Ovis aries: one gene and its partners. The protein of the gene in region 3 purifies or fractionates together with the protein of the main gene of each other region. This does not show direct contact. Links are inferred from orthologs where the notes say so. Each region holds a gene or a part of one and is shown on either strand. Other genes may lie near its edges.

Region 1 (10,877 bases), on a different chromosome or scaffold from region 3:
CAAAATGATTAAGTGGAATAACCCCTATAAAGGGCCTAGGACACTGTCTGGCACATAAAGTGCCAGTAAAGTGCTCCATAAATGCTATTAATATTTTAATAATCAATATCGATAAAGAAGAGTGATGTTTGCTACTGGTGACTCATACTTAAATGACTAGCTCCTTCTTATCCTTTGTATTCCAGTAAGAAAAGCCTCCTCCTCCAAAAAGCCCTCCCTGGCTATTCTATCTCAAGTGGAATCCCTCCAATAGTTCCCATTCCCCATTGCCCCCAACCTGTTTACTAGCCCAGAGGCCTTGTCATCATCTGTAATTCAATTACTTATTTGGTAAATGCATGTCTCCCCTGATAGACGTAAACCCCATGAGAGCTGAACTCCCAGTGGCTGGCATAGATTCTCTGCTCTCTATTTGTTGAATAAAAAGACCAAAAAATGTCCAAGAAACTATTATGATAAGAGAATACCATTTGACATAGAAGGGCTGTGCTGAGGTGGCCATTTCTTTGGGGATAATTTTGAAAGTGAAGATGGGTAAAAATTCTAGACCGTCTTCAAACTAAAGCTTCATCAGGCCACTTAGTGGTTTATTATTAGTGGTAAAGAATCTGCCTGCAATGCAGGAGACATAGGAGATGCAGGTTCAATCCCTGGGTTGGGGGTGTGTATCCAGTGCCACTCTGAGGGAGGAGGGCACTCCTCCCTTCCACTCTGCTGCCTACTCACAAATCTCTCTACCCCCAGCACCACCAGCTATGGAATCCAATGGTGACCATGGGTCATGGTCTCCCCACAACTGACATCCTGGAAAGACTAGCAGGAGACCCTCTCTCTTTTCCCGTATTGTCTAGAACTACAGGATATGATAGCAGCCAAGCAGTGGGCTTTGTCTACCTGAGTTTGAAGCCCATCTTCCCCGCTTACTAATCTTTCTTGGGGCAAGTTACTTTGGCCTCCCTAGGCCGTGTTTAGTCATTGGTAAAAAAGGCAGAAACAGCGGACCCTGCCTGGTTAGGTGCTGATGGGTGCCTGGTAGATGCTGGATAACTGTGACTTTTATTACCATCCTTCTGGACGTCATCACAGTCTCTGCCAGTTGTGATCAGCAAGGGCCTGGGGTTCTGGGATTGCATTTTTCACATATACATGTTCTATAGCCTGAGAGTTTGTTTTCTAATGGTGATGGATATGTGGCTAGCACTATGGCAACCTAATGTGGATTATTCCGAGAAGGTTCTAGAATCTCAGGATGGGTGGGGCCTCCGGCTGGCCATCTTGGAAGAGGGACTTGGGAACTATTCTCTGCCAGCACTTTACCTGGATGGGTGTTTTTATGGTTGGGCTGGTCCTGTAGTTGTTGCCCAGGGTTTAGTGTTTATTTGGGGTACTTTGGAGGATTATGCACATTTAAGGGGTGGGTCTTTGGCTGTATTTGGATAGCTAGCACTCATGTTGATTGTATGTTCATTTGGGCGGCTTTTGAGTGTCATTTTGTGATGAAATCTCGCTAGTAAGCACACAATTTTTATGTGGAATGAATGTTACATAGGAACTTTGGGAAGGTTAATGGATAGGGGGTGTTTGCTACTTTTCTTGCCCTCGGTGGCATACTCTTTGCTCACCTCTGCAGTACTGAGCTTGAGGATTAATTGACTGGGATTAATTTGACCTGGAAAATAGAACAGGAAGTAGGGTTTGGGCCTGAGGTAGAGTCACCTTGACTGATGTCCCATTTGGCCTGTTTCAGAGGGTGCAATGGTTGATGCTGGGGGTGAGCTGGTGTCTCCCTCCCAACCTTCTAGGAAGCCACACCATGGTTGACCATGAGCTTAAGGGATGAGCCTGGTGATGAAGAACTATAGGGAACCCAAGATCATCTCAGGTCCAAGCCATGACCCGTCAAGGATTCAGTGAGTTTGGTGTGGGACCTGTGAGTGCTGTTGCCCATTCCCTCCCCCAGCAATGGTGCAAGATTTTTATTTGTATTTCACTTCATTATGAGTGAAGTTGCATGGTTTCCCCAATGTTAGTTAGTTGTACCTTTTTAGAAAGTAAAATTGCTTGTTCCTGTACCTTGCCCATTTTTGTGATGGGCTTGTTTATTCTTAAGAACTCTTTGCTTGTTAGGGAAATTAACCTGTTGTTACAGATTTTTACCCAGTCTCCACCCCCACCCCCATTCACATTTAAGTTTTGCACTCTCCTCGGCCAACCCCCCTTTATGGTTTTTAAATCTTATGTCATGCTTATTACCTTCTATAAACCAATATTTTAAGGTAGCCATTTTAAAGATGTATTTTTATATTTAAATATATGTTTTTGACCCACATTGAGTCCATTTGTGTATGGAATGAGGGTAAGGATAGTTATTTGTACCTTTTTAAAAAGTAAAATTGCTTGTTCATATACCTTGCCCATTTTTGTGACGGCTTGCTTGTTAATTCTTAGGGGTTCCTTGCTTATTAGAGAAATTAATCCTTTCTTATGTATTTTTACCCAGTTCCATCCCCACTCCCATTCATATTTGATCTTACATTTTATACAGCCCTCTCCTACCCCATCCCCAACTGCCACTATACATTTTTTTAGTCTTAGGTCATGCTTAGATGAGCCATAAGATTTCAGTAGTAAAAATCACCATTTTAAAAGTACATGTTTGTATTTAAACATATGTGTTTGACCAACACTGAGTTCATTTGTGTATGGGATGAGGTAGAGATAATTATTTGTACTTTTTTAAAAAGTAAAATTGCTTGTTCATGTATCTTGCCCATTTTTGTGATGGCTTATTGAATAAGAGATCTTTGCTTATTAGGGAAATTAATCTTTCTTACGCATTTTTACCGTTTCCACCCCAACCCTGTTCTTATTTAAGTTTTGTATAGCCATCTCCCACCCCACCTCCCCACCCCCATTTTATATTTTTTTAATCTGAGGTCATGCTTAGAGGGGCCTTCCATAAGATTTTAATTGTAATAATTGCCATTTTAAAAGTACACATTTGTATTTAAACATGTGTTTGACCAACACTGAGTTCATCTGTGTGTGGGATGAGGTAGAGATAGTTATTTGTACCTTTTTAAAAAGTAAAATTGCTTGTTCATGTATCTTACCCATTTTTGTGATGGCTTATTAAATAAGAGATCTTTGCTTATTAGGGAAATTAATCCTTCTTATGTATTTTTACCGTTTCCACCCCAACCCCGTCCTTATTTAAGTTTTGTATAGCCATCTCCCACCCTACCTCCCCACCCCCATTTTATATTTTTTTAATCTGAGGTCATGCTTAGAGGGGCCTTCCATAAGATTTTAATTGTAATAATTGCCATTTAAAAAGTATATGTTTGTATTTAAACATGTTTGACCAACACTGAGTTCATCTGTGTGTGGGATGAGGTAGAGATAATTATTTGTACCTTTTTTAAAAGTAAAATTGCTTGTTCATGTATCTTGCCCATTTTTGTGATGGCTTATTGAATAAGAGATCTTTGCTTATTAGGGAAATTAATCCTTCTTACGTATTTTTACCGTTTCCACCCCAACACCGTTCTTATTTAAGTTTTGTATAGCCGTCTCCCACCCCACCTCCCCACCCCCATTTTATATTTTTTTAATCTGAGGTCATGCTTAGAGGGGCCTTCCATAAGATTTTAATTGTAATAATTGCCATTTTAAAAGTACATGTTTGTATTTAAACATGTGTTTGACCAACACTGAATTCATCTGTGTGTGGGATGAGGTAGATAGTTATTTGTATCTTCTTTAAAAGTAAAATTGCTTGTTCATGTATCTTGCCCATTTTTATGATGGCTTGCTTATTAATTCTTAAGAGCTCTTTGCTAATTAGGATAATCAATCCTTTCTTACATATTGTTACCCATTTTCCACCCCTACCCCCACCCTGATTCATATTTTATGCACAGTCCTCTCCCATCTCCCCACCTCCACTTTATATTTTGTAATCTTAGGTCATGCTTAGAGAGGTCTTCTATAAACTAAGATTTTAATTGTAAAAATCACCATTTTTAAAGTACATTTTTGTATTTAAACATATGTGTTTGACCCACTGAGTTCATCTGTGTATGAGATGAGGTGTAGAGGTAATTACTTATTTGTACCTTAAAAAGTAAAATTGCTTGTTCATGTACCTTGCCCATTTTTGTGATAGGCTTGCTTATTAATTCTTAAGAGCTCTTTGCCTATTAGAGACATGAATCCTTTCTTACATATTTTTACCCAGTTCCCACCCCTGCCCTCACTCATATTTTTTTTACAGTCCTCCCCCCATTTAAATTTTTTAAATCTTACATCCAGCTTAGAGAGGCCGTCTATAAACCAAGATTTGAACTGTAAAGATAGCCATTTAAAAAGTAACTTTCTGTATTTAAACATACATGTTTGCTGCACATTGAGTTCATTTACATATGGAATGAGATAGGGATCCAGCCTAATTTTTCCCCAAATCACGACACCATTTGTTTGTAACTATTTGATAGCTTTGCACCAGGTTTATTCCTCCCGACCCCCTACCTCCCACACCCCTCCCATCATTTTTACTGAGTTAATAATTGACAAATTTTAATATATTCAGTGTATACAGTGTGATGATTTAATATACATTATACACTATTTCTTAAGTAAATCCACTTGATTTGAAACTGCATTACTAAATTCCTCCCACCCAACTGAGATGTTGGATGGACAAAGAGCTGAAAAGCAGACACCTATTTTGGGGAGAGTAGGGAAGTAGACCCACCCTAAGATAGTATATAAAGGTATAAATTGGTAGAATACTTGGATAGGGCAGCAATGCTCAAAGTATAGAATTTTTTGATGGACCTTAATGGTTTTCTTCAGGGCATCGGTTTGGGAGAAGGACAGGGTGATCATTTGGTATCGTCTGAAAATCATTTTCAGAAACCCAAGGTTAGGTCAACAAATAATATGGGAAGATTTTACACCCACTTATAACCTTGGGGCCTTGTCACCTAAACATGGGGGCCTCCTAACTTTTGATGTAGTCCAAACCCTGAACAGTGCATGTCTGCTCGAAACCGCAAATAATTCACAGGAGTCACATCTTTGCTCACATTTAATTTTTATTTTGATTTTTTAATGCTGCACAACACGATATTTATTTCATTTGTTTCATTTATTTCATTTATTTATTTCTGTTTGCTGCTATTATATTTTGCTTACTTAAAGAGAGAAGGGAACATTTGTGGCCTTTTTTTCTTAATCTTAATCTATAGGCCGCCTTAAGCTTTCTAAATTTGTAATATTTAAGCAAGCTGTAGGGTAAAGGGGGTTTCGCAAAATCACTTGAGGGAAAGGAAAGGTTGCTTTGTTAATCATGCCCTATGGTGGGTGATCAACTGCGTGTAGTTATATCTTACTTGTAATTAATTGCGCTTAAGGCCTTAATTAAATCTAGAGGTTCCCTTCTTAGAGCAGCTCATACTGACGGAGGTGCATGCGCTGGATGATGTCACGGCAGTCGTTGAACACACGGCGGATGTTCTCGGTGTCCACAGCGCAGGTGAAGTGAGGGTAGCAGTAGTGGCGCCCATCTCCACTAGCAGTGCTGATTCTCTGTGGGGACAGAGGAACGGTGGTCAGTGACCCCTCGCCAGAAACTCACCAGTAGATGTCATCTACCAAACTCTGCCTGCTAGTTATTGACATTATGTTGAAACAATCCCCAACTGAAGGGCACAAAGGCTAAGAGTCATGCTGGCTATCAGTGAAATAACATGGAGGAACTGGATGGTTTGATCCTCAGATTTAGAATTAAGTAAACAACAATCTCTACTCACCAGAAATTCATCTCGAATGAAGTACTTGGCCCGGGTCACGCGTGGGTCCTCTCCAGGCTCGGGAGTCGCTGTAAAGAATATAAATATTTTGTTACTTAAGTAATTAGAATGAGATTCTTTTGCTCCCCCTATAGACCCCTTATAGTGTGGTGGTGGTGGTGGTGGTGGCTGGGGAAGTGGAGTTCCATTCTTAGAGATCATTCATTTTTAAAATCAATAGAAATCTTTAACATATGCAAAACCCTGTGGGACCCATGGGCACTAATCAACTGCAGAAGGCCATACGTACCATCCTCAGGAGTAGTGTAGCGAGCAAATTCTGGAAAGTAGTCCTCAATCTTCGATTTTCCAGCAAGGACTTTCTCAGCCAGCAGATCTTGCTTGTTGAGGAACAGAATCACAGAGATGGTGCGCAGCCATCTAAGAAAGAGGGAAGCATGTTTATTGCCCAGGAAAAGAGAGTATTCTTTTTGCAAGTGGTTTGAGATGCTTGCACAAGAACTTGTACAAGATTCTTTTCTATTGACCTTGACATCAGTAGGAAGGAGACTGGGGGAAGGGGGGCGTCACTGCACAAACCTGTTGTTCCAGATGCTCTTGAAGAGGTTCAGAGCCTCCTGCAGGCGGTTGGTCTGGTTGTCCTCCCGAATGACCATGTTGTAGCTGCTGCTGGCAACCACGAAGATGATGGCAGTCACATCTTCAGCACGAGAAAGCAAACATAACGCATGTTAGCAGGGAAAGTGATCCTTAACAACTAGAAAAGCAAAATGTCCTTAAAGAGCAGAGAAGCCCGCGGCTCCCGTACCATTGAAGCATTGGATCCATTTGCGGCGTTCATCGCGCTGGCCGCCCACGTCAAACATGCTGCAGGAGAGAAATGATACCTGGTCACTCCAAGGGCGACACTGGTCCACCACTCTCCCTACCAGAAGGAACGTCAAGATATCTTTTTTTTTTTTTTAAAGGGAACCATTTACTTACTGGAAGTTGACTTTGTCCACCTGGAACTTGGTCTCAAAGATTCCAGAAGTCAGGACACGGCAGCGGAGCAGATCCTAAAACAGAATCTTGGGTCAAGGGATCTCACCGAAACCAACTAACACTCATTAATAATTGCCAGTCTGGAGTTGCCAATTAGTTGGGACAGAGGGCTCCAAGTCCTCTGCTTGTGAGAATGTGTGCGTACCTGGTCGCTGGGCACATAGTCATCCTGCTTGATGACGTCAATCTTGTCCAGGAAGCTGGGAGAAAAAGATGCATCAGGGTGACCACATACTCGTGCCACTTTGCCCACCCACTATTCCTGCCTCTCTGCAACGATCAGCTAATGGAAATGATCACCCCACAGTTACATGGCGTTAAGTCAGTGGGAATTTTTCTTGTGTTCATTAAACTTATGATTCCAAGCTTATGCTTTAGAGAGGTTAGAGCAAAGAGAATATAAGATAAATGTACCTGGCTGAGCAGTAGTACGTCTAGGAATCAGGAACTAGGAGTGGGCTCTCCTGGCCTTGTTTTAATTTTAAAAGGCTGGTTCTGTGCAGATCAATCAGCTGACTGATTTTGTGCAGTTTGATAATGACTGAGTTAAATTCAAATTGTTTGGCTTTGGTTAAAATGGCAAGTAGTATGAAAATTGGACTCTTCCTGTCATGCGGTGTTTTAAAAAATGGAAAAAAATGGCACATTTAAGAGCAGCAAGGTTTTTTCCCCTCCCAAGAGACTAATAAAAATGAGATTGTCTGAGTTACTCAGAAAGGGTATCCCTTCCTTCTACTTGTAAGAAGGGGCCGGGCCCTTACCACACTGAACAGGAAACAGACACAACGTTCCCTTCCGTTCTACTTGGTCTATGAAATAGCACAGTCAAGATATTAAACTTTAGTGTTTTCAAAAACCCTCACAGCCACCCAGGTTAGGGGCTCTTATTCAGGCTGGGAGCCTGCATAGTGGAGGGGTAGAGATCTTAGGGGCCATCCTTAACGATGAGAAAGCTTTATAGGGGAAAAGCAGTGTTTTTCACCTCCCTCTCCACAGCTATACACTGTCCCCAAAGCAAAAAGTACCTTGCTTATGTTGCCAGACTAGATAACACTGTTAGGAAAAATAACTTTTAAAACACTGATTACTGTGTTAATGGTAAAACCAGCTTTTTTCTTTTTCCCCCTTGGGGGAGGGGTCTGGAATTATTTTAAAGGGGGCTAATCAGAGAAGAAAAATCACAAAGAAAAGTCTATTTAAAGAAAGTCTGTACCTTTTTTTTTTTCTTCTTTCCTCCTTCCTTTTTACCAGTTTAAAGTTAGTCTGGCTTAGAGGATATACTAACTTGCCCAATCAGTCTTACATTACAGTACCAGTCCAGAAATAGCTCCCCAGCCGCCCTGGCCTCCAGCATGTTGCCATGGCAACAGAACCACAGTTCTAAAAATAGATCATCAGCACCAAATCTTGTGAGAGAGACATCTGGAGTGGGGCCAGCCAAACCCCGGCTCAACAAATAAAAACAGGCGCCTTAAGAAATGGGCAAGGTAGCAGTAGATCAACTTTTTAACATAAAGGCAGTGAAACCAGAAACACACTGGTCACTGCAGGGGCAGAGCCGCTTTCCAATCATTGGGCTGGGGAAGACATTTTATAAAATTTGAGCTGTGTTCTCTTTTTCTTAGAGTTTCCTTAAAACTTTCCATAAACTGCATATGTTGCCTTTTTCAGATAAAGTTGCAGGAGTAATTGAGTGTTGCTTTAAAAAAAAAAAAAACTTTTAAATGGTGTGAGAGTAAAAAAAAAAAGCTGGCTAAACTGTTAATTAATGAAGTGTTACACCCTACCCCCTCCCAGAGCACTCCAAACTGGAGTGGTTAAATCCTTCTAATCTTGTACCTGTACTTCTGACTTGGATCCAAACTACAAAAGGCAAACAATTCCAGGATTTCCATTTGTTTTGCATTACTATAATTAGCACTTCCAGCTTTAAGCTCAAACTTTTGAGAAAATCAGAGACTTTGTTGAGGGGGGGGGGGGGGGGGGGGGGGGGTCACAGAGACTGGCCAAGATGGACTTTTTTTTTCTCACTTGTTGAAAAAATATACAGATTTGCTTGTATATGAAATCACAAAATAGCTGTATGTGTGATAACTGAAAATAATCAAATGCACTTCCAATGGGAAAGCAGGGCCAAGGAGAGAGAAACTGACAGGCTTCACAGCCCCTAACACAAGCTCTTGTCATGTGTAGATAACAGGAATTTGGGGCACTTGCTTTGTGTTTGCAGTTGGAGTGCTGTCACCTCTTCCTCCCTCCTGTTTATTCAAGTGGTTTTCATAAGTTCCTCAGGCGTGGGGCTCCTAAGTAATGCAATTTTAGCTTTCTGTGAGCCAGCCGGGTACCGTGTTTCTGGTTACTTAATATTTTCAATAGCAAAATTGTGTGTGTTTCAGTTACTTACATAAGAGAGGCTGAAACATCACAAATATCTCTTGCCCTTCCCCCAGTCATAAAAGACAATCCAACTTAAGAATATATGATAACTGAGACCGCTGAGTACATTTGTGCAACATCAGCAAACAAACGATACCTTTAAAATATCTTTTATGGCTCTGAACATCACATATTTGCTATATTATGTACAGGATAAGCAAGGTTGTAAACTATTTAAAAAGCAACTTTCCAGCTGTGTTTATCACATCCACTGGAAGAGAGCCCATGAAGGGACACAGCAAGGACCCCATGGGGGGAGCATCCTCGAATTAAGCCCAGTGTGAATGAATCAATAAGGATAGGAGATGGAATTCAACACAATACCCAACTCTAGATGAACTAGACATATTGGACTCTAGCAGCTACTACAGTCACTTACCTGATAGTAGAAATACTGGACTGGCCACGAAGGAGGGGGGAGGCATATTTTTGCCACACTGTTCCTCTTTGTCACGTTTTAAATTATAGCAATAAAATACAATACTTCTACCTTATCCAAAGTGTGAAAGCTGTCCTATCTCCCCACATGCTTGGAGGTCAATTCAATTAATTACTTCAAGGTAATTAATTATGAACATCACTTTACTGCAGGTAATTATCATTTTGCTCTACCAGGCATTACCTGTTTGTATAAAAATAATGTCACTGCACTAAAAAGTACAATTAAGGGCTTTATAAAACCAGTGAATTGGACTACAACTTTCAAACTGCAGGCTGGCTTCTCTGAAAAGAAGTAACTTAAACAGTGTGAGTTGTGGTTTTTAGGATGTTCTCCATGCGCTCGTGTTTGTGTGTGTGCGCGTGCACGCTGATGCGGAGACAGTGTACTTACTACTGGGCGCAGTCAATCAGCTGGTACTCATTGGAGCGCTCATAGCAGGCACGCACCCCTTCATCCTCCCAGAGAGCCTTGGCATGCTCATAGAATTCCTGGAAGTGAACAAGAGAGGGAATGTTTAGACACAGGGGCTGCTCCCAGTCAGTGAGACCAGAGTTCACCCTGCCACCAACCCTGGGTGCAATTATTCCGTTTCGAGGCAAACTAAGGAGTCAGTGTTCATAAAGAACTTCAGCGTGCTACACGTATTTGGAAATTGACACCAGCTGATCTCTTTCTGTGGATTACTGGTCTTGGGTAGTTTTCATTCTGTACTTTTTTGGGAATGGGATGAAGGGCCAAACTGAACTACTGAATAAGTTTCTTTCCTCACCCAATTGCTTACCTAGGAGGAATACAAGCTAATTAGGAGACTTTGCCAATAAATGATTTGATGTCATGGAGGTAAGACATCTCATTTATGAAGATGTGATGAGACCGCAATTTTCCTTCCAGGAAAATGTGAATTTTAGCAAAAAATATTATAATTGGGAGCTATTGGCAAATCTGACCTTGTCAGTCAATGCCTATCAATCAAAGGAGCAAATGACCTCTGCCTAGTTTTAAACTGCAATAGGTCACGGTTCATATGTCATTTGACGTAAAAACATTTTTAATTATATGGGGCAATCTCCCCTTACAAGGGAAGGAAAGGTTTTTCTGCAATATGAATGCAGCAAGAAAAGGGTCAAAAGCTAAACAGG
Region 2 (10,774 bases), on a different chromosome or scaffold from region 3:
TCCCTGATCAGGGATGGAACCTGGGCCCCCTGTGTTGGGAGCACAGAGTCTTAGCCGCTGGACCACCAAGGAAGTCTCAGTAGTTCTGCAGTTCTGATCTTGGTTTTGCTATTGCCTCTTAATTCTGCCTCTTTGAGCTTTAGTTTCCACATTTGTAAAATTGATGATGTTGTTAGTACTGTGAGGACAGTATAAGAAACATGTGGGAAACTGTTCTGAAAACATCAAGGCTCTCTGTAATAAACAGGCATGATTTGGTGCCTGCTATGTGTTCAAGTTACATAGTCACAATTAGTGTTTACAGTAACCCTCTCAGGTGGGTTTTATGTCCACGTTACAGAGGCCCAAAATGAGGCTGACGGTGATTAGAAACTTTCTAGTGGTCACACAGCTTTTTGGCAGAACCATACACTTAGCTGCTACCCTACACTGCCTCCCGCAACTTTGGTGCCGTTGTTTTGTCCCTGGCTGGGTGAATCATTTGTGGATGCTTTCTCAGCATGGCCACGTTACTGCACTGTCAGCACATTCTATGGAAGGACTGGGTTGATTTCTTCAGTTGAATCTGGGTTTTTCAAGCCAGTCTTCAAGTGTGAATCATGTGGGTCTTGTCAGTTGATCGTAACTTCAAATCTCTGATGACCCCACTTTCTCCTGCAGTTGGAGGAGCCGATGGACCTGGCTGTGCTGGAGGAAATCCAACAGGAGCTGATTGATCAAGGTGACGTCTAGGAATAGTTCTTCCTGCCTGTATCTCTAACTGCTCTAATGCTGACCTCATTTCTAAACAGAATGTTTTTAACTCCTTTGTTTCCATCTTTAGTCGCGTATTCAGGGGTCTCTTGTTCTCACTTTGAAGTCTTGGCTGTACTTGGCTGTCCCAGTAACAGAAGAGTCTTCAGGTGTCAGGCCTTGTGCTCAGACCTCTCCTTCTACTGCTCTGTCCTCATGACGCCCCATGAGGTAGTATGAGGGGACAGAGGTGTCTTACAGGCTGCATAGCTGGTGGTGGAGTTGGAAAGTAAAATTGATTCTGTGAATCCGGTTCCTGTGTCTATTCAACCCAACAGTACTTCTCTGTTAGTAGATTAACAGTAACCTTGTTCCCTTACAGGAGAGTGCATGATCAGGCCTCTTGTGCTGCCTAACTTCAGTACCTTCTCTCCCATCTGTTCCTTACTGACTCCCCAGGGTTTTGTGACCGTTCCCTTCCTGTAGCATCAGAGAGCCACAGAGTGCTTGATTTAGTACTTCATATAACCAAGTCATTTATTTCACACAGGCCTGTCTTGATGAGGCTCAGTTTATATCATCTGTTAAAGAGATGACAGACTGCCTCTGTAGTTTAAATAACATGTTTTGAAGACTTAGAGCGGTGCCTGGTATATAAGAAGGCTTTCGATAAATAATTGCTTTTATCTTGAGGATGCAAGAACATGAACTCTTGGCCCAGACGGCCAAAGTTCACTTCTCAGCTTCACCACTTTAACTTGTGTGGCGCTGGGCTCTCCTTGTGCCTGTTTCTTCATCTTTAAAATAAGACTTATAGTGAAGATTAATATATATGTTAAGGACTTTGACACAAAATAAGTGCTATGCGAGTGTTAGTTGTTATGATTGCTGTGTTGGCTCCAGTTAAACTGTAGATTCCTTGATTTTTTTTTTTTTCTCTTTACCCTCACCTGTAAAACCTATCTCAGTGAAAGGACTCACTAAATATTTCTTTTGGGGTGTATTTAATTTAAAAATCCCAAGTGATAAGAATTTGCTGTGTTCTGCCTTACTCAGTCATAAGGAACCCTCTGGAATTGGGGTTGGCAAACTCTCCCTTAGGAGCCAGGTTGTAAATGTTTAGCCTGTTGCTACTACTCAGTTCGGCTATTGTAGTGGGAGAACCGTTAGAGCCCATTCATCAACCAAAGGAGAATGGCTGTTCTATTATAACTTTAAAAATGGAAGGTGGGCAGGATACGGCCTGTGGTCTGCTGAGCCCTACTCTGAAGTCTAGACGGTGAGCTCATCAGAAGCAGGGACCAGCCTTTTTCATCTTTGTATTTACCTAGGCCTCCCAAGTCCTAGGCCTTTTTACATATCTGCTGAGTGGATGAACACACATTCTGAACACGGACTGAGTCTGGGGACAGTGGGGAACAGATCGCCTTAGACGTATCCAGGGGGGCCTGGCATCAGAAATATGTGCCTTTGTCAGCTTTCTTCAGCTGCCTGACACTTTTTCAGCTCCCCTCCTGTGGCCTCATCACTTCAAAAGGAAGCAGACAGACAGGAGGGGAAGGATCCAGTAAGAGGAGGCCTGACACAGCAGTGAATATCTAGCGATTGTAGTGTGGTTTTACCCTCATTTGTCTCTTGTGTGGATGAAGCCTTTGAAAATGAATCTTCTAGCACTCGGGACAGGGTGCCCGAAGTGATGCACGGTGCCACTCCAGCTCTCCTTTGCCTTGCAGAACAGTCCATCATCAGTGAGTACGAGAAGAGCTTGCAGTTTGACGAACAGTGTCTCAGTGTCATGCTTGCTGAGTGGGAAGCAAACCCCCTCATCTGTCCCGTGTGTACAAAGTAAGAGTTTTCACAACCTTTTCAGCACTGTTCGTTCCCACCCCCCACTCCAAGGTGAGTGGAACTCCCCCCAACTCTGTGGTCTGGGAAGTGGGGGGATACGGGTCTGCTAGCTGTAATGCTCTGGGATCCCAATTCTGCTTCCAGGTACAACCTGAGGGTAGCAAGCGGACTGGTCGTGTGTCAGTGTGGCCTGTACATCCAGTCTCATGTGAGTGTTCCTCACACAGGTCTTGTGTTACCTCTTCCCACATGTACCTACTTTCTTAAACTCCAGTAGCGAGCACAGCTTGTCCCAGCTTCACGTCCAGTTCACACACTGGTAGCTTGAAATTGGTCACAGTGGCAATATGAGACACCATGGAATTGGCAAGCTCCATAAATCAGGGTCTTCCCAGCCCCTCTGCACAAGCCATTTGTGAGGCACTTACGTCTAGGAAGAGAGCCTGGTTTAGTACTGGAAACTCTTGTATCTGATCTGACATGATGTTGACCAAAAGTTTGCCAGTTGATTAAAGTGGTGAATTATACAAATGACACACTTTATAGTAAGTTTCAAACATACATGTTTACTTGCCAGTCTTTGAGCCAGAGACTCTGTTGACTGGAGAGCTGAGGTTGTTTTTTGTAAAATTCTCTTAAAGTCTTGTTTCCCCAGTTGTTTCTATAAAGCATCGAGAAGCTGTCTACACTTTAGGATTTTTCCTCCCCATCTTTTACTCTTTTACCTAATTCTTTTTCTTAAAGCATCTTTTTGTTTCCTAAACATTCCACTTACTATCACAAAAATGAAACTTTGTTTTCTTATTATTTCATTGGTTTATATAGTATGTAATTAAATCACTCAGTTACAGTAGCAAGTTCAGCAGCAGATATGGGAGCTTGCTGGTTCTGGGTAATCATACACTTGGCTGGTAGAGGCAGAAACACAGGGAGGTTCCAGAGTCTGAGTGTTCCTGGCACGATGAGCAGCAGTTAGTGTTTTACGGCAGGAGTGGAAGAGCACTGGTTCATTTGGAGAGGCAGCTAGATGGACATTTAAAGAGATCCTCTTAGCACAGTTATAGCGTTTCTAAGGGTCCAAGGAATCAAGCCATCACAGGGAGCCAGTTGTGGATTGGTGTGAGGGGAGCTGCAGTTTTTTAAGCTGTTGACTATGAGGCTAGTAAGATTAGGTTATAGTTTAACTTGTCTATTTTTTAGTCTCCGGAGATGACAGAGCAAAAGCTTCGTGCCTGTTTAGAAGACAGTGTCAATGAGCACAGTGCACATTGTCCCCACACGCCAGAATTTTCAGTCACTGAGGGGACAGAGGAGAAGTCATGTCTTCTCATGAGCTGTCTGGTAAGCCTACCACGGGAGCCAGTAGTTGACAGTGGGTCAGCGGATGGTTTTATTCCCACCCTGGTAGAAAAGAGGAACTTAGTTGCATAGAAAAGTGATGTTATTTCAGTTAAAAGGCCAACCATCTCCTGAAGGGGGGAAGCACAGAGGCCACCCAGGTCGTGGAAGGAGCAGCTTAAGTGTCATTGCTATCGATGACTTTTAACCATATGCTGAGACTGTCTTTGTCACTGGAATAACTCTAACTCTTTTCTGTTTAAATCCAGGCTTGTGATACTTGGGCTGTGATCCTCTAGGGTCGGTCCCAGTCTTGATGCATGATCTACTGTGTTGGAAGAAAGTCCCATCTTGAGAAGTGGCCTTGTAAATACAAACCTTTTATTTATAACTTATTAAAACATTTCAGACTTTCCTCTGTTTCATGTTTTGTAATACAGGTTGAAAGGGAGGGTATAGAATTAGAAAAGACAAATCACCTTGGAGATTTTTATTGTCCATCATTATGTTATACAAAAATCCAGAAATAAAGGGTTTGTAGAGGATAAATGAATGGTAAATAAGAGACAACAGAAATAAGTTAAAAGTGAATTATTTTCCATGATATTGGGATTAAAAAAAAAAAATTTTTTTCAAAGCATGTGGGTCTGGCTTCAGAGTTAGGTTTTGTTCACTGGCCAAAGCCTGCCATAAAATTAAGGTGTTCAGCACCTTGCTGCCTGCTCTACTGGCTTTTGACAAAACCTTTGAGGTCTTCGAGGAAAGAAATGTACTCCTGGTGCTCCAGGGCTGTGCTGAGCTCCACCAATTCATCAGCAAAAGTGTTGTCCACCCCTCGGTCCGCAAGGAAATCCATTAGGTGGTCGTATAAGCCCTAGAAGGATCATTTACTAGTTAAAAAAACAGACAGACACCTGAGACACTTACTAGGATGCTTCTTTGTCTCTCCTTGGATTAGGTAGGCCCCTCCCCACCTTATCTAGCACTCACCCAATCCAGGGAATCTGTGTTGAGTGTGTAATTTGTGTCCTTCCAGTCAGACTCGCCGGTGGCCTGAAAACTCACTTCCTTGATGGAGAAAATGTCACTCTGGTCATCCTCTTGTCCAATCTGAAGAGAGACAGTATTTGGCGAAACAGAAAGGTTTTCCAGGACAAGCCAGACTCAGGCGAAGAAAAGGGATTATTTACAGCTTGAAACTCAGATTTTAACCTTGTTCCCTTACCTCCCACTAATCTTCCCAGCTTTGCTGCTCTAAGCCAGAAAATGTTAATATCAGCTAGATGGAACCAGGAAAGCCCCCTGGAGGCCCCCCACCACCGCCCCCCAGGCCGCCAGCTCTCCACCCTACACACCTCATCTTCTGGATAGTGGCAGTCCAGCACAAGGGCCTTGCTGCTGCCATCCTTTGTAACTTCAACCACAAAATTGGGAGTGGATGTCAATTCAGGCTAGGGAAATAAGAACAAGTCAGTAAATGTTGGCAAGGGTCTGGTGGCAGGGGTCTGGACTAAAGGTCTCAATTCAGGGGTCTGACGGCCACTGCTATTACGATATTACTTAGCCACTTACAAGTCTTGCTCCCCCGTCCCTGGGATTCTCCAGGCAATAACACTGGAGTGAGTTGCCATTTCCTTCTCCATTGCATGAAAGTGAAAAGTGAAAGTGAAGTCACTCAGTCAAGCCTGACTCTTAGGGACCCCATGGACTGCAGCCTACCAGGCTCCTCCATCCATGGGATTTTCCAGGCAAGAGTACTGGAGTGGGGTGCCATCGCCTTCTCCGACACTGCGCTAAGAGGTTCCCAAATAAGAAGCCTAGAATCTTTAACACAGTATTACAGCCACGTAACCCACTTGTTCAGAGACTGGGCCGAGTACATCCTGTCATTCCTTTCTAGCGTTATGGACTGTTTCGGAGGCAGAGTATCATAATTTAGTACAGCCTTTCACTTCTATTAGCACCCTGCTTGTTTAAAGAACATACAAGGTTCAGAAATAGGAACTCAGCTCTAGCCACATCTAGTGTGCCAGTTAATTTTCCTGGGTCAGTTTCTACATCTATACACTACAAAGCTGGCTCAAAACTCCAAAACCCCTTTCCAGATGTTTTGGGATCTTCATTACAGCCCAGGACCAAAGGCTGGTGCCTCTGACTAGAGGCCCAGAGGCGCTCTGAGAGCGAGCCAGCCAACCTCATGGATGGGTTGGGGGTGGTCTTTGTCAGGGGGGCTGGGCCAGCACTCCAGGGAGCTGAGCTGGGTGATGAGACAATACCATGCCCACCCAGCCAGAAAGTCTGGGGACCTGTGGCCCTCATACTGGCTGGTTTCTAGGCCAGGCACAAAGCTTCCTAAAATGTTCGAGGACTAAACACCATCCAGGTCCAACCAAGAAGGGCAGCAACTTAAGGAGAGGCCTTGCCAAAGTCTCTGATGCCCCTGGCTGGTGTTTATTACCAACTCGGGACATGTATTCCTCATGTGGAACACTCCAAATGATTTATCTCCTGATCATGAGAAGGGTTAAGACAGTTTAAATTCCTTCCTGTTAGGTGAACACCGGCCAAACTATAACGCTTAAGCCCACAGAAAACAATTCATTAACACTTGGCCCCTGGGAAAGAAAAGTGGCCACACAGTTCTGGTGCTCTGCAAGTAAAGGCCCAAGGATGGCTGCCTTTGCCCTCTCTCCTGGCGTTAGAATTTAAACAAAACAAAAACCAATGCTCCTTCCCTAAGCCTGTCAGAAATAGGTGGGTACAGGCTGGTTACAGTGTTAGAAACTTACCTCCTGCTCCTCAGCCTTCTGCCCTTGGGAGGGTTCTTCCTCCTCACCACCGAAAGCAGGTGGGATGCTATTGTTAATGTTGAAAGTGACAGTGATCCTAGAAAGGCAACCAAAGAGCACAATGAAGATGTCTTTTTAACTGAGTAGCTGAGTACTACGGCTTGCTACAGTTAAAAATGCTGTTGAAACAATGTATCTCAGCCGGCTTTACATCTGATTTGCCTGCATCCCATCCACAGTTGGATTCAGCAGGTCTGAAGTGGGCCTACTATGTGTTGGCTGCTGGAAGTCAATTAGGCACTATTTCCTCAGCCAAATACAGTTGTGTGTTGGTGCTTCTGCCATCAGGCCACTATCCGGGGCTCTCTGTCAACCTTATAGCCACAGTCAGCTGACACCGCCACTCTTGTCTTTCCAGGGCACCTCCCAGTGGTGGTGAGCAGCTGAGAAGCTGTGGGCATGGGCTAGAAGCCTCCTCTAAAACAATAAATGTACTTGGCTGCACAGGGTCTTGGTTGCGAGGTACGCATGACCATTGTTATGTATGGGATCGCTCAGTTGCTACATGCGAGATCTTAGTTCCCTGACCAGGGATTGAACCCAGGTCCTCTGCGCTGGGAGCAGACACTTTGACCACCACAAAGTTCCAAAAGCCTCCTTTAAGAAAATAAAATGTACTTGGCTGGGCTGGGTCTTGGTTGCGAGGTGCATGTGACCTTTGTTGCTATGTGTGGTATTTTAGTTCCCTGATCGGGGATTGAACCCAGGTCCCCTGCACTGGGAGAGGAGAGGTTTAACCACTGGACCACCACTAAGTCCCAGGAGCCTCCTTTAAAAATCTTCCTCCATTAGAAGAAAATCTGCCTGAGAGGAAGAGAAGGAGCACCGGAGGGTTGTGGCATCAGCTGAGGATGGAGAGTAGCCCTGGCCCCAGGAAGGGGAGGCCTCACAAAGGACACCACATAGAGGAGTTCTCTGGTGGGCCAGGGGTTAGGACTTGGTGTGTTCACTGCCATGGCCTGGGTTTGATCCCCGGTCAGGGAACTAAGATTCCCACAAGCAGTGTGGCAAAAAAAAAAAAAGAATATGCTGCTGGACAGTTTTATTCTTCAGAGCAGATGTAGGAAGTTTAATAAATGACAAGGCAGGCCACAAACACCACCTAATGACAATTTTAACTTGCAAGAATCTTCACCTGACATATCATATTCCAAAATTTGAACTGAAAATTGAGTGACACTTGGAACGAGCACTGCTAGGTTGCAGACAACGCTGCCCTCTGAAGCCATGGTAACTGGCACCTTGACAGACAGAAGTTTGATGTACAGGCACAAAATCTGTCTAAGCTGTGACAGTGTGGACCAAACTGACCCCTGGACAGAGAAATGCAGCTATGTTCAGCAGCACATTATAATGGTCCCAAACTGCCTATAACTTCGCCTAGGAGAGTGGTTTGGGTCACGTTACAGACCACACAATTGATCTATGACGGGGAAAGCACTACAATACTAGGCAAAAGCACCAGCCTGCTGCTTCACAGCGCATGCAAAACTTCAAAGTGGACCGTGGATTTAAAACAGCTTAAGCAGGCCAAAAGCATCCCTCTTTTCTAATGAAAAACTATACTGCAACCCCACCCTGTTAATTATCTTGCTTTCTCAACTGTAAACAGAACAGGGGCTTTATTTTCCTCAGCCAGAGCCTGAGGGTAGTAGACCCAGCAGAGTAAATCCGATTCTGTGGGCAGTGCCGGAATCTCTGAATTTGCATGCCTAGTTGTGGGCAAGGCACAGCCTCACTCACCAGGAAGGGCTCAGTGACTGCTGCCTCTACTGGTCCAGAAGACTCCCAGTGGCTTGGCTTCAGTGCTACTGGGGTGATGTTCAGGCACTCAGTCGTGTCTGACTCTGCAACCCCATGGACTCCCTGCCAGGCTCCTCTGTCCATTGGATTTTCCAGTCAAGAATACTGGAGTGGGTTGCCATTTCAGACTCACACCTCCTCCTTTGGCAGGTGGGTTCTGGACGCCAAGCCACTGGGGAACCCCGCTACTAGCTTACTGTCTCCTTGTTAACCACCACAGCACATTACTGTGCAGTGAATAAGCAAAAAGGAGCCTAAGAAGTTATCCAAACGAATCATACCATCTCTGGGAAACCAGGAGTCAGTTAAGCACCTGTCTTAACTAAAAGTTGTTGTGGATACCTCACAGCAGGTCCTGCAGGTTTATGGATGTGGTCCCCTGGGCTCCATAGGCCCCTGGTACTTACTTTTCTCCAGCAACTTTCCGCACTAATTTGGCTTCCGTCCCATTCACTTCCAATTCCCAACCTCCTGACATTTTGGGGAGAGACTTATATTTCTGTATCTTCTTTTCCTCCTTGATCTCATCGCTGAGGAAGTCAACGAAAGCTTTGTCTCCTACAATGGAAATAAGTTACAGAAAGAGCCAATTAGTCTAAAATGGAAAATGACCCCGTTACTACAAGCAAAGACCAGGACTTAGCCTGTTTTTTCCTAATACTTCTATTAATGGTGGCTCTGTGGACTTAGCCCAACTCATATCCATTAAACCTCAATTCCTTCATCTGTAAAAATGTAAGCTATCAGTGGGAAGCTGAGCATGGATTCTAGGAAAGTGATCCCGAATAATGAACTTCTCACGACGTTTCAAAATAAAGCAAAAAAAAAAAAAAAAAAAATCGCCACTACCCTTTCACTTGCCAAGAAACATCACGCTACTTCTAACCGCGACCTTGGGCTTTCGCAAAGTTCCATTTTCGAGAGACTGAGGTAAAGCCGGCCTCCAGGACTTTACAGTATCTATCCCCGCAGTCAAACAGGGGTGGGGGAGGACGGGAAATGTTACTACGCGTGGGTTTAACTAGCAGGTCGACCATCACTGGGAGAATGTTCCGGACCTCAGGAGCGGCTCCGGACTGTCCATTCAGGTGGTCTACACCTCCCAGCCCCTAACACCCCGCCCCACCTAGGCCCACGCCCCTCACGCCCCCGGCCCACGTGCATGAGTCTCACCTTCGGTGTGCAGTCCGCTACAGCCGCAGCCGCAAGCGCAGGGCCCCCGAGGCTTCAGGAGGCCGGGCAGCTGAACCGACCCCGCGCGCACGCTCAGCAGCCCGAAGGGCCGGGCGCATGGCCGGGACGCGGGCTGCAGAAGCGGCAGGGAGGGTGCGGCGGCGCGGAGACCAGCGACGGCAGAACCCAGGACGCGGGGCACGCAGCGCAGCAGCTGGAACATTTTGGCAGCGGAGGCGGTGGCGAACACGTGCAGATTCGAAATACAACTCTCGCTTAGAAGGACAACTCCTTGCCGCTGCGCCCCCTAGATCTGGGACCGCCGCCGGAAGTCCCGCCCCACAGCCGGGAAGTGCTTCCGCGCCGCCGCCTTGCAGACCAGAAGGCACAGTGGGCAGGACCCTGCCCTCTGCTGGTGGCCTCCGGTGTAGCCTCCCAGGGAGGCTTGGAATCTGATTCCTAAACTTTAGTTCTGCAGCAACAGGAATCTTCAGGAACTAAAGAAGTTTAGGAATCCTGAAATGGGAAATCAAGTGGGCCTTAGGAAGCATCACTACGAACAAAGCTAGTGGAGGGGATGGAATTTCAAATCCTGAAAGATGATGCTATGAAAGTGCTGCACTCAATATGCTAGCAAATTTGGAAAACTCAGCAGTGGCCACCGGACTGGAAAAGCTGTTTTCATTCCAGTCCCAAAGAATGTTCAAACTACTGCACAACTGCACTCACCTCACACGCTAGCAAAGGAATGCTCAAAATTCTCCAAGCCAGGCTTCAACAGTATGTGAACTATGAACTTCCAGATGTTCAAGCTGGATTTAGAAAAGGCAGAGGAACCAGAGATCAAATTGCCAACATCCGCTGGATCATGGAAAAAGCAAGAGAGTTCCAGAAAAACATCTACTTTTGCTTTATTGACTACACCAAAGCCTTTGACTATGTGGATCACAACAAACTGTGGAAAATTCTGAGAGATGGGAATACCAGACCACCTTACCTGTCTCTGAGAAATCTGTATGCAGGTCAAGAAG
Region 3 (10,425 bases):
AATAGATGGAGAAATTGCTTTTGGAGCTCTTCCCACTCCTAGCCAAATGGGAAATATTAATACATGATATATTCTAGAATTATTTGAAATTTAATGATAATACTGTAGGAGTTCATTTATTACAGTAGTGGCCTTCAAGCTAATAAAGGTGACGAAAACATGAACCATAGTCTGTCCCCATTTCCCCTGGCCCTCCTTCTTTTTAGTTCTGGCCATTCCCCATTTGCCTTGAACCAGATTTGATCTCTTCCTCCCTACCTCACATGCCTTCCATCTTTACACCTGAGGTAGTGAGAAAAAAACCATTATTTTCCAAAGTCTAAGCCTTGTAGGAAAGAAGAGGTGGGGAGCCCTGCAAACCCAGTGGTCTGTGGAGGGAAGGTAAGTGGGAAGGTCAGAGTTCTTCATGACTATGATTCACCCTTATCTCTTATCAAGCACTTTAAACTCACTTTTTATTAGAATCACAGTCTCCAAGTTCCTTGCCACCCCTCACCATTACCCCCTTACATTACCCCCTATTTTCAGATGGACATCACCTGGGAGTCTAAGGGCACCCTGGACATGGTACCCACCTGCTATAGAATCCTTCCTAGGTCTAAGCTGCCTCTGACCTTGCCTACTTCTCCCAGGTACTATCCAACCCCTGAGGCAACCATGGCTTATGGAATCAATGCTTCCAGTGAAGAAGAGCTCAACATCTCCGCAGCAAAAGCAGGTCTTGATTCATGACAACAGGCAAGGAACTTCCTTGCTCCTGGTGCAGCTTTTTCTTTTTTAGATTCTGTTCCCTAAGCAATAAGCCTTGTTTCTTTATTGCTTTTAGTCTTAAGAGCTATTACTAGAGTCTCATTGTCTGTGTGCCTCTGTCCCAGATTAGGGGTCTGGTATATTGTCACCCTGCTTATTTAACTTATATGCAGAGTACATCATGAGAAATGCTGGGCTGGAAGAAGCACAAGCTGGAATCAAGATTGCCAGGAGAAATATCAATAACCTCAGATAGGCAGATGATACCACCCTTATGGCAGAAAGTGAAGAAGAACTAAGAAGCCTCTTGATGAAAGTGAAAGAGGAGAGTGAAAAAGTTGGCTTAAAGCTCAACATTCAGAAAACGAAGATCATGGCATCTGGTCCCATCACTTCATGGGAAATAGATGGGGAAACAGTGGAAACAGTGTCAGATTTTATTTTGGGGGGCTCCAAAATCACTGCAGATGGTGACTGCAGCCATGAAATTAAAAGACGCTTACTCCTTGGAAGGAAAGTTATGACCAACCTAGATAGCATATTAAAAAGCAGAATACATTACTTTGCCGACTAAGGTCCGTCTAGTCAAGGCTATGGTTTTCCTGTGGTCATGTATGGATGTGAGTTGGACTGTGAAGAAAGCTGAGTGCTGATGAATTGATGCTTTTGAACTGTGGTGTTGGAGAAGACTCTTGAGATTCCCTTGGACTGCAAAGAGATCCAACCAGTCCATCCTAAAGGAGATCAGTCCTGGTTGTTCATTGGAAGGACTGATGCTGAAGCTGAAACTCCAATACTTTGGCCACTTCATGCGAAGAGTTGACTCATTGGAAAAGACTCTGATGCTGGGAGGGATTGGGGGCAGGAGGAGAAGGGGACGACAGAGGTTGAGATGGCTGGATGGCATCAGCGACTCAATAGACATGAGTTTGGGTGAACTCCAGGAGTTGGTGATGGACAGGGAGGCCTGGCGTGCTGCGATTCATGGGGTCGCAAAGAGTCAGTCGGACACGACTGAGCAACTGAACTGAACTGAATGTGGGGATTAGATGCTGAGAGCTTCCTGGGAAGGAAGATCCAGGGAAATACTCTCCAAAACAGGGCAAAGGTGGATCTCTGCCTGAAGGTCCCATGCCTTAAGTGGGTAGTAGAGCTGGGAGGACACCTTCAACTACACAAGGGAACTCTGGCACTTGGCTCACAGTGCTCCTCTCTACCCTAACTTCTGCCTCCATTCTGGGTGATTTCACTGTCCAAATGGATAACCCAACCAGGCCACTTACCCCTCCTCATCTCTAGGAACCATCATCTCCCCTTTTAACCAGCTATTCCATGGATCTTCCCACTGCCCAGAGTTCTTTCTCCTGTCTTCTTAATCATTCTACTGTCTGACCATCGAACTAATCCCTCAGTTCATCCTTCTGGTTCTCTGAACATTCCCTCCCAGACAGCTATAACACTGCACACAGCAGGCACTTAGTATATTTACTTACCTTTCTGTCTTGTTCATAGACTTCAGAGACTCCTGTCCACAAACCCCTGCACTGTTTCCCAATCTGTCACTCAAACTCCATCTTCCTCACCAATCCTGCTTGGGTTCCCTGGTCCATCTCTTTCTCCATTCTGTGAACCTACACTGGTGGACATGGTAACAAAGATGCTGACTCATACACTCGCTGCCCTTGGTCTTGTCCTTATTCTACCACTGAATAACAGAATGAAATCCTTGGAATAAACTAACACTCATCTTCATTCCTACAAGATTACTGAGCACTTTGCCATGGGGAAGGGGGTCTACCATAAATCATGGGCTCCCTGCTCTACTGGGGCCTCCCCACTGTCTGGAATCCTTCTACAGTCCCCTCTCCAAGTCCTTTCTGTACAGTCCCTTCCCACAGGTCCTCCCCTCCCACCTCCTCAGGGACTAGGCTGCATGAGTCAGCCTTCAACATCTCCCCGTCTTTTGGCTCCTGCCTGCTCAAATCTCTCTTTTCCCAAGAAAATCATTATTCCTGTACCTCTCTTTAGCTACCTACCTCTTTCACCTTCTTGTCTAACCTAAGTTTCTCAAAAGGAGAGTCAATACTTGATGTCCAATCTCCTCTATTTTTCTGGACCAGATTTGCCCATATCAGAGCTTCTAAGTATGCCCTCTATGCCTACAATCTCCATGACTCCCACACCACTGCAACCCTGCCTGCTCTATAGGATAGTGATGGGGCCCAACCTATCCCAGGAAACATGCTAATTTTGCTCCACTGAATTCAGCAATGTCACCTCAAGCTAAGCACAGACTGAGGTGGAAACTTTCCCAGTTCATTTTAAAATATGATACAAAACGTGACAGCCCACCAAAAAAGGCAATAAACTCAGAAATGGCAAATAGATTTAATGTAGAGTGTCAACTTCAATTGATTGATAGTGGCTGCCTAGAGCGCTGTGCTGAATAGGTTTCTGAGGATGCACCCTGGCTCGAAGACAAAGATTGCTGGGATTAGGAATATCTGAAAACACAAGTAAAAGAAAATAAAAAAGTCAATTATATCCACCAATAGGAAGGAATAAAATGTCAAAAGTAGTGTTTTCTCACACTCTCCATGATCCTCCAACCCTGGCCTTCCTGTAACCACCCAGCTCTTTATCCCACCCCCATGAGCCCTGGCTTTCCCCAAATATAAGTAGATACCTGATATCTCACTTGTAGGAGAAACCACAGGCACCAGAACTGCCACTGGCGCTGGCACCAGCTCCACCAAGGCCTGCGAAGAGCCCAAACGTGAGAGTGGCTGTCAGGCTGGTGCTGGCACCAAAGTTGCCACCAGTGCTGGCACCAGCACTGGCACCACCACTCTCCTGGGCTTTGGCTTTAGCTTCAGCTCCCGCCTGGATACGGGCCTTGGCCCAGGGTCCAATATCAGCTTCATCCCAGTTGCAGGGCCCAGCAGCATTCTCAGAGCCGAGCCCAATGCCCATCTGAGCTCTAATCTCAGCCCTTGCCTTGGCTTCAGCTGCAGCCTCAGCTGCAGCCTTCATATCTGCTTCCATTGCCTCTCGGTACTGAGCTGCCCATTCCTTAGGGTCCTTCTTTTGTACCTACGACAGGAAGAACAATCATCTGAAGGATCCAAATCTGAGCACCAAGTGCCTACTCTATGCAAATTATAATACCATAAATACTACTAGTAGCTATGCACCTAATATTCCAGCTCTGCTTTGACACTTACTATCTCTGTGACCTTGGACATGACACCTAACAACCTCTGAGCCTGAGTTTTCTCATTTACAATAAGGCAATGACATGTCAGTTGTAAGTATTAAATGATTCAAATAAAGTGTTTGCACATTAATACAGGCTTCAGAATGTTCATGCATGAGCTGCAGGCTGTTCTGCACACAGCCTACCCCAGACAGTGGCACCCCATGCTCTTGGTATGCCAAGCTTGGGCAGTTCTCCAATTACCTTGCAGGCAAACTTGAGGACTTTCATTTTGCTGGTTTCATAATAAGAGCGCAGGCCCCAGAAGAACTCATATTCAGGGGGATTGCTATTAGGGACTCTGACATAGTCCAGGTACCTTGAAAAGAGAGGGTCAAAGCCTTTATGTCTATAAGACCACTAATGGCCCATTCATGCATTTAGGTGGCAAACTCCCCCACTGACTACTGCAGCTTTTCTTCCAATCTTCAGCCCTATCTCACTGACCCTACCCAGCAGCCATGTGGAGGTACAAGGGGCCTGTATAGAGTATTTCTTCATAGGAAGGCCACAAGTTGTGTGCCCCTGTCACAATAACCCAGATTCCTGTTGGGTGTATTGCAAATAGAGAAGCCAATTCTTTAGGCCCCCTGCTCTGAGCACACCCCACCAACGGGCTCATCCATCGCCTGGCTGAACCCTGGTACAGTCCATCCTAGGAAATGACTGTATGGGACAAAACAGTCAACCAAGAGCAGTGGATTCAACGCATACTCTCGACCATTTGTGTGTGAGCATTCAGGCATGTGTGCTGGTGCACCTGCGTGAGTGTACACATGTTCTCCAAGGACCAACAACAGGGTGGGCCCTGGTCAGAAAAGTCAGGAGGACTAGGCTTCAGATCCAAATGGGTCCTTTACCAGCCAGGGCCAGGTTCAGACCTACTCTCTGAGCACCAGGCTCCTCAACTGATACCGGGGTTGGGTTGATGGCAGCTATTCTGCAGAGTAGTTATGAAAATGAAATGAGATGTTCAAGTCAAGACTCCAGGACAGTACCTGGTTGCCTAAAGCTACCATTCTATGGCATTTCTTTATGGAAATAAATTTCTATGAAGCCCTAGCTAGCATAGTAAAAAGAACCAAGGTACTGAAGTCAGGATTTCAATACAACTCTTCTGTCTGTTGCCTGTATAACCCTGAGCAAATTACTTCACCTCTCAGTTTCAGTTTCCTCACACATACAATACTGGTGATGACAATCCTTCCCCCGAAGAACTGCTCCAAAGGCATATATGAGAGCACAGGTAGGTCAGTAAACGTGTACTCATGTTCTCTGCCACTATCTCAGGAAAAAGCTACCACTTGCATATGCACTTATATAACATGCACAAGCACATGCACATGCACCATAGCTTTATCACTCATTTTGAAGACAGGCAAAATGCATGGAACACAGCAACACCATACAGACTTACTTCTGCTTCACAAACTCATCAGTAATGAGCTTCTTCACATCTCCAAAAAGTGAATGATGTATCCTGACAGTAGAGAATGATAAAATAATTACATACATACATAACTACATACATAGATAAATATAACTAGGGCTACAGCACTTCCCAGATATGGACAGAGACATTTCCCACAGGGAAAAGAAGCTTCCAGCATAGATGGAAGCTCCATAGAAACCCAAGAGTCAGTGACATAGAGCAGAGTTCAGGACCATTTCCCCATCCACCTAGGTCAGAACCCTGAACCCAATCCAGCACCCCCACCCACCCCACCAGACCACCAGGCTGATGCAATCCTGGGACCATCCTCTCTTGCCAAAGGACAACATGGACAGCAAGTGCTGACAGAGCCCAATCATACCCAGGGCGCAGCCCCAACTTGCGCAGCACCTCCCAGATGACAGCTGCAAGGGGAGGAAAAAGGAAACAGGGATAGAAAATGAACATGTGCAATTCTGACCACAACCCCCCATCCAGCTGTCAATCCAGCCACTCACCCTCACTGGATCGATTTCCATTCATGAAGATGATGCTAAGAAGCACCATGAGGAGACCGAGCTTTGGTGAGTCCTTGGTCCTAGGAGAATAATGGGAGAGAGAGAAGGTTTACATCCAACAGTCATCTGCAAAAAAAAACACATATCAGCCAGCTCACTAGGCTAGCTTCTCCCAGATTCTTCAGATATGGGAGAATTCTGCCCCATCTATGCTTCAAGCTCTATGTGATCCTGGGTAAGGCACTTAAGATTTTGAGCCTAGTCTCCTATTCATAAAATGGGAAAAACACATCCTTCTCTTCCTGTGTTGCTGAGAGAATAGAAGAATGGTAAGATCTGGGCACCCAGTCAATTGTGAGTCCCTTCTTGCTCCCCCAGACCCATCAGTTCCAAGAAAATTCTAGGCATAGCCCCAAATGATGCCCCTGCCCATCGAGCATCATGATCCACTCATACCAGGAAGCCCTCCTGTGAGAACTATTCTGCCAAGGCCAATATGAAGAGACAAGGAATGACAAGTCTGTTTTCTTGGGAAGCTTCTGGAAAACCAGAAAATATTACAGTAAGAATGCACTACCCGAGGCTCCTACACCCTACAGACAATCATAATCAGGTACCACTCCTGTGTGCAGGGCTCCAACTACCTAAGGGTGATAGAAAAGAGGTCTGGGGCTCTGTCCTTCCTATTTCTTAAGGGGGTATAGGGAGAAGATAGGGATGAACTAGTACCATGAACAAAAGCAGATGCCTCCCTCCCATCCCAGCCCTATCCCAGCTTACGTTCCCAGTATGCCTGCATCAGTGGGCTCTAAGGTGCTGAGAAGAATGTACAAGTGATCATTCTTATCAATCTCCTTTAATTGGATCCCAAAAACCTGTGGATGGGGACAACAGTGTGAGACCACAGAATTCAGCTTCCTTGGCATCCCATAGCTCCCCACGTACTCAGGAGTCTGTCTCTCTGTGTGTGTATGCTTGTATGTGTGTGTATGTGTGTGTGCATGTGAAATCAGTGAGATAATGCACATAAAACACTTAGCTGAGTGGCCAGCACACAGCATACAGACAACAAATGCATTACTGTTATTGTCATCTTTGTGATTAGTGGAATCCAGGGAGCCAGAGAGTGGGGAAAGAAATTGAGAAGTGAGTATCTGAAGTACATTACAAGACTGTCCAGCAGTGGACAAAAGCCAAGACTAAGCTGGGTAGCTTGGGTTCTAGCTGTGATTTTACCATGGACTTGCTGTGTGACCTCAAGGTAGTCTATGCCCCTTGCTAGGCCACTGTCTTCCCATCTGCACAGTGACGGGGCTGGATTAGTTTCTGTGGTGCCCCCCAGAAGAGACATGTACACCTTTGTTTGATTCAAGGTTTCCCCAATGCACCCATCCCCCAGGTCTGCCCCTTCACCTTCTCCAAGGAATAGCCTGCTCGTTCAATGATTTCAGGGTACACATCAGTGTATTCTTTGATGATGTCCTTCAGCATGTCTGCAAGGGGAGAGTGTTGCGAGCACCTGGGCTGAAGTGAAGCCAAGTGGCCCCCATACCCAAACTATAGACCCTTTACCAACCCTGCTGTGGGTGGCACAAACAGGTTCTGAGCTAGTGAACAGAGATGCTACTACTGCCAAATTAGAACTTTGAGAGGGCATAAGTGGAAGCAGGAGAGCAAGAAATGCCCTCAGCATATGGGGGAGAGGGCAATTGGAGGGCAGAGCTGGAGGAAGGAAGGGGTTAGTAGGACTCTACCTGAGCGTTTGATGGGAATCTTCGTCTGGTCTTTAACCAACAGGTACTTCACCAAATCGTTTGCCTGGGAGAAGTGGAAAAGATGGAAAGATCAAAATATGTTTGCAAAAAACTTGACACAATGGCAGAGAAAAAGGTAGGCAAAGCAGAGAATAATGCAGAGTGGAGAGGACAAGGTTCTTACCCTCCCTTGCAAAAGGGCTACATCCCGGGGTGGTGGTGCTTCAGGCTCTTGGGATGACTGGAGCTTGGCAGCTCTGCGACGAGCCTTGCCCCTACGGGCCTTGGGTGATCTCAGAGAAAGCAAAGCTCTCCGGGCCCAAGCAGCCAACCGAGTCCTTGATGCCCTGCGGGCCCAAAATGCTATGGGGCCCCTTGAAGCCCTGCGGGCCATTGAAGCCATTAGGGCCTTTGAGATCCTTCGGCCACCTGTGGTTCCAGAAGCCTGACTCTGATCACTGCTGCCATCCTCTTCCCCATTCAGATGCTTCACCTGCATCAACAGAGAGCAAACACAACATTGCCAGATGAAACAGATGGTCTTTTTTCCTTCATAGAAGTCCCCTCTAATCCCACCCTTGCAGTAACAGCCTGACTCACTAGATATTGGCCATGTTGAGTCTTGGATTCACCTTTCACTGGTTTCCAAGTAGGAGTTTCATCTTCCCACCAGGACAGGAGCAACCCAAATGTAAAGCTTGAGGCTTCTCCTCTTCCTGTGTCCACCACTGATTCTGTTTATATCACCCTGGACAAGTCACTCCACCTCACTGGGACTCAACTTCCTTCTCTACAAAACTAGATCACTTTCAGGATTTAATGAGATAACCTGTGTGAATATGCCTAGTTCAAGCCCTTGACATATGGTAAGCTACTATGTAAACATAAACTGCATTTTGTTTTGATTTCGGCTATGTGTATTCCTATCTCATGTCCAGTCTATGAGCTTTCTGAAGACAGGAATTATAACAAATTCCTCTTTGTGTCTACCCACAGCTATTATGAGGAGAGGAAACAAACCTTCTAAAGGTTTACAAAACCATGAACCAACTGAGAGAAGTAGAAGAGCAAAGATCTTACCTTTCGGGCTTTCTTGGCCTTGATCTTGGGCCGGGTATCCTGATTCTCCTGAGCCTGACCAGCTGCACCCTCAGGCTCAGGTTCATCTGCCAGAGCCTGAGAGGCAGTAGACTCAGTCTCCAGGGTCTTTGTATTGACCTTTGTATCAGCCACAGAGCTGACCTTTTTGGTCTCAGTAGCAGACACTGTCACAGCCTGAGGGTCAGTATGCTGCATGTTGGTGTCAGCTGCCAGACTCTTCTTTTTGGCTGCTAGAAACTGGGTATCGGTCAGCTTAGTGGTAGGTGAAGCCTGAGTGGCAGATACCTCCTGAGCCGCAGTGGTCTTTGAGACTCCTGCAGCATCTGAGATCTTCGTGGCCTTTGAGACCTCTGGTGTCTTTGAGGCCTGTGGTGTCTCTGAGGCCTCCAAGTTCTGGGTCACTGTCAGTATGGTCTGCATCTTCAAGCCAGGGTCCTCTTCTGAAGCTTCAGCCTGCAAGATGAAGCAGGGAAGCTCACAAACTTTCTCCCCACCCCCAGCTAAGCAAATGGCTCCATTATTCCAGGGCCTCACTTCTCTTACTTATACTAACTCCTATTTGTGGTCTTAGCAGCAGCAGCAGCAGCTGACCACCTCTGCCCACTCCTGAGCAGAAGAGGGGTGGGCCCACTCTCCCTCTAGCTTAGCTTCCTCCCTCCTTCCTTCTCTCCTCCCTCCTTCTACTTGGGGGAGGGGGGGCAGCACCCAAGCAAGGAGGTAGGTGGAGAAGGATTAGGATGGGAGGGGAGGTGCCAAGGGATTGGGGGCAGTAACAAGAGCTGGAGAGCAAAAGCAGCTAGGGAGAGGGCAGAAGAAGGTCTTACCTGGAAGCAGGTTGGACCCGTACCACTCTCGCTTGTGTCAGACATGTCTCAAGTCGGCCTGGCAAGAGCTGAGCCTGAAGGGGAGAAAGCCTGGGTCAAGAGGCAAACCCACTGAACGTCTTCTCTCCCGCTCTGCCTGGAGGCTGATCCCCATCCAATCTCAAACCCTCCCAACGCACCCCCTCCCGCCCCACCCAAAGACTTCGTTCTCAAATTCAGTATTCCAGAACGTCTAGGTCTCAATTCTCTGCAGCCGCACCCTCCCCTTCTCCAGGAAGATGTGCCAGCGCGGCAGCCCTGAGGACCCCGCCCCCTTTCCCAGTGCACCCCCCCACCAGCCGCAAGTCGACAATGCGCATGCGCATCCGTTCCAGGGCCCATCTCAGCCCCACCCGCTTTCCCAGCAGAAGCCCTTTCTTTGATGTCCACCCTGCACATGCGCACTCAGCAGCTGGTATCTCTCCAAGCTGGCCCTTCTCTACACGCCCCTTTCTAGCGATCCATAGTGCGCATGCGTAATAGTCGAGGACTCAGTCCAACACCTTTTTCCAACACGCCCCTCTCCAAGTTCATAGTATCATTCGGTCCCGCCCCCTCCCCAACAGACCTCACTCTCAAATTGTCGCAGTGTCCGTTAGTCCTGACTCCTCCCCTACTGAATACACCCCAAGTCCAGAACACCGCCTGGTCCCGCCCTTTTTCATAATACGCTCCCCTTCCAAACAGGGCCCAAGTGCATCTTGGTTCTTCCCCGTCCCTAATACACCCCCTCCTCAAATCAGTACTGAGC

The links.
Region 1: the proteins of MAGED2 (region 3) and GNAS purify together in Homo sapiens (affinity purification with mass spectrometry; 3 studies listed by BioGRID, counting the BioPlex papers as one, with this or other methods). This does not show direct contact. The link is inferred for Ovis aries from reciprocal best matches to the Homo sapiens genes MAGED2 and GNAS.
Region 2: the proteins of MAGED2 (region 3) and C1QBP purify together in Homo sapiens (affinity purification with mass spectrometry; 3 studies listed by BioGRID and IntAct, counting the BioPlex papers as one, with this or other methods). This does not show direct contact. The link is inferred for Ovis aries from reciprocal best matches to the Homo sapiens genes MAGED2 and C1QBP.

What each region holds. Positions count from the first base shown.
Region 1 is NC_056066.1:57,147,531-57,158,407, forward strand, and holds the end of GNAS (guanine nucleotide-binding protein G(s) subunit alpha isoforms XLas), read right to left. Parts: intron 10,227-10,877; coding exon 10,129-10,226; intron 7,061-10,128; coding exon 7,006-7,060; intron 6,875-7,005; coding exon 6,801-6,874; intron 6,684-6,800; coding exon 6,625-6,683; intron 6,517-6,624; coding exon 6,396-6,516; intron 6,237-6,395; coding exon 6,106-6,236; intron 5,885-6,105; coding exon 5,817-5,884; intron 5,593-5,816; coding exon 5,446-5,592; 3' UTR 5,082-5,445; downstream 1-5,081. UniProt on the Homo sapiens protein: Guanine nucleotide-binding proteins (G proteins) function as transducers in numerous signaling pathways controlled by G protein-coupled receptors (GPCRs).
Region 2 is NC_056064.1:25,998,688-26,009,461, reverse strand, and holds C1QBP (complement component 1 Q subcomponent-binding protein, mitochondrial), read right to left. Parts: upstream 10,068-10,774; 5' UTR 9,967-10,067; coding exon 9,744-9,966; intron 9,129-9,743; coding exon 8,978-9,128; intron 6,805-8,977; coding exon 6,708-6,804; intron 5,370-6,707; coding exon 4,980-5,369; coding exon of another isoform or gene 4,909-4,979; 3' UTR 4,793-4,908; coding exon of another isoform or gene 4,643-4,792; 3' UTR 4,394-4,642; downstream 1-4,393. Other genes in the region: RPAIN (RPA-interacting protein), read left to right, coding at 661-721, 2,466-2,577, 2,725-2,788, 3,781-4,011.
Region 3 is NC_056080.1:52,806,082-52,816,506, reverse strand, and holds the end of MAGED2 (melanoma-associated antigen D2), read right to left. Parts: exon of another isoform or gene 9,830-10,425; intron 9,710-9,829; 5' UTR 9,681-9,709; coding exon 9,636-9,680; intron 9,265-9,635; coding exon 8,791-9,264; intron 8,204-8,790; coding exon 7,895-8,203; intron 7,775-7,894; coding exon 7,711-7,774; intron 7,450-7,710; coding exon 7,370-7,449; intron 6,832-7,369; coding exon 6,737-6,831; intron 6,037-6,736; coding exon 5,957-6,036; intron 5,864-5,956; coding exon 5,821-5,863; intron 5,487-5,820; coding exon 5,424-5,486; intron 4,615-5,423; exon of another isoform or gene 4,487-4,614; intron 4,326-4,486; coding exon 4,211-4,325; intron 3,844-4,210; coding exon 3,445-3,843; 3' UTR 3,437-3,444; intron 3,255-3,436; 3' UTR 3,120-3,254; downstream 1-3,119. UniProt on the Homo sapiens protein: Regulates the expression, localization to the plasma membrane and function of the sodium chloride cotransporters SLC12A1 and SLC12A3, two key components of salt reabsorption in the distal renal tubule.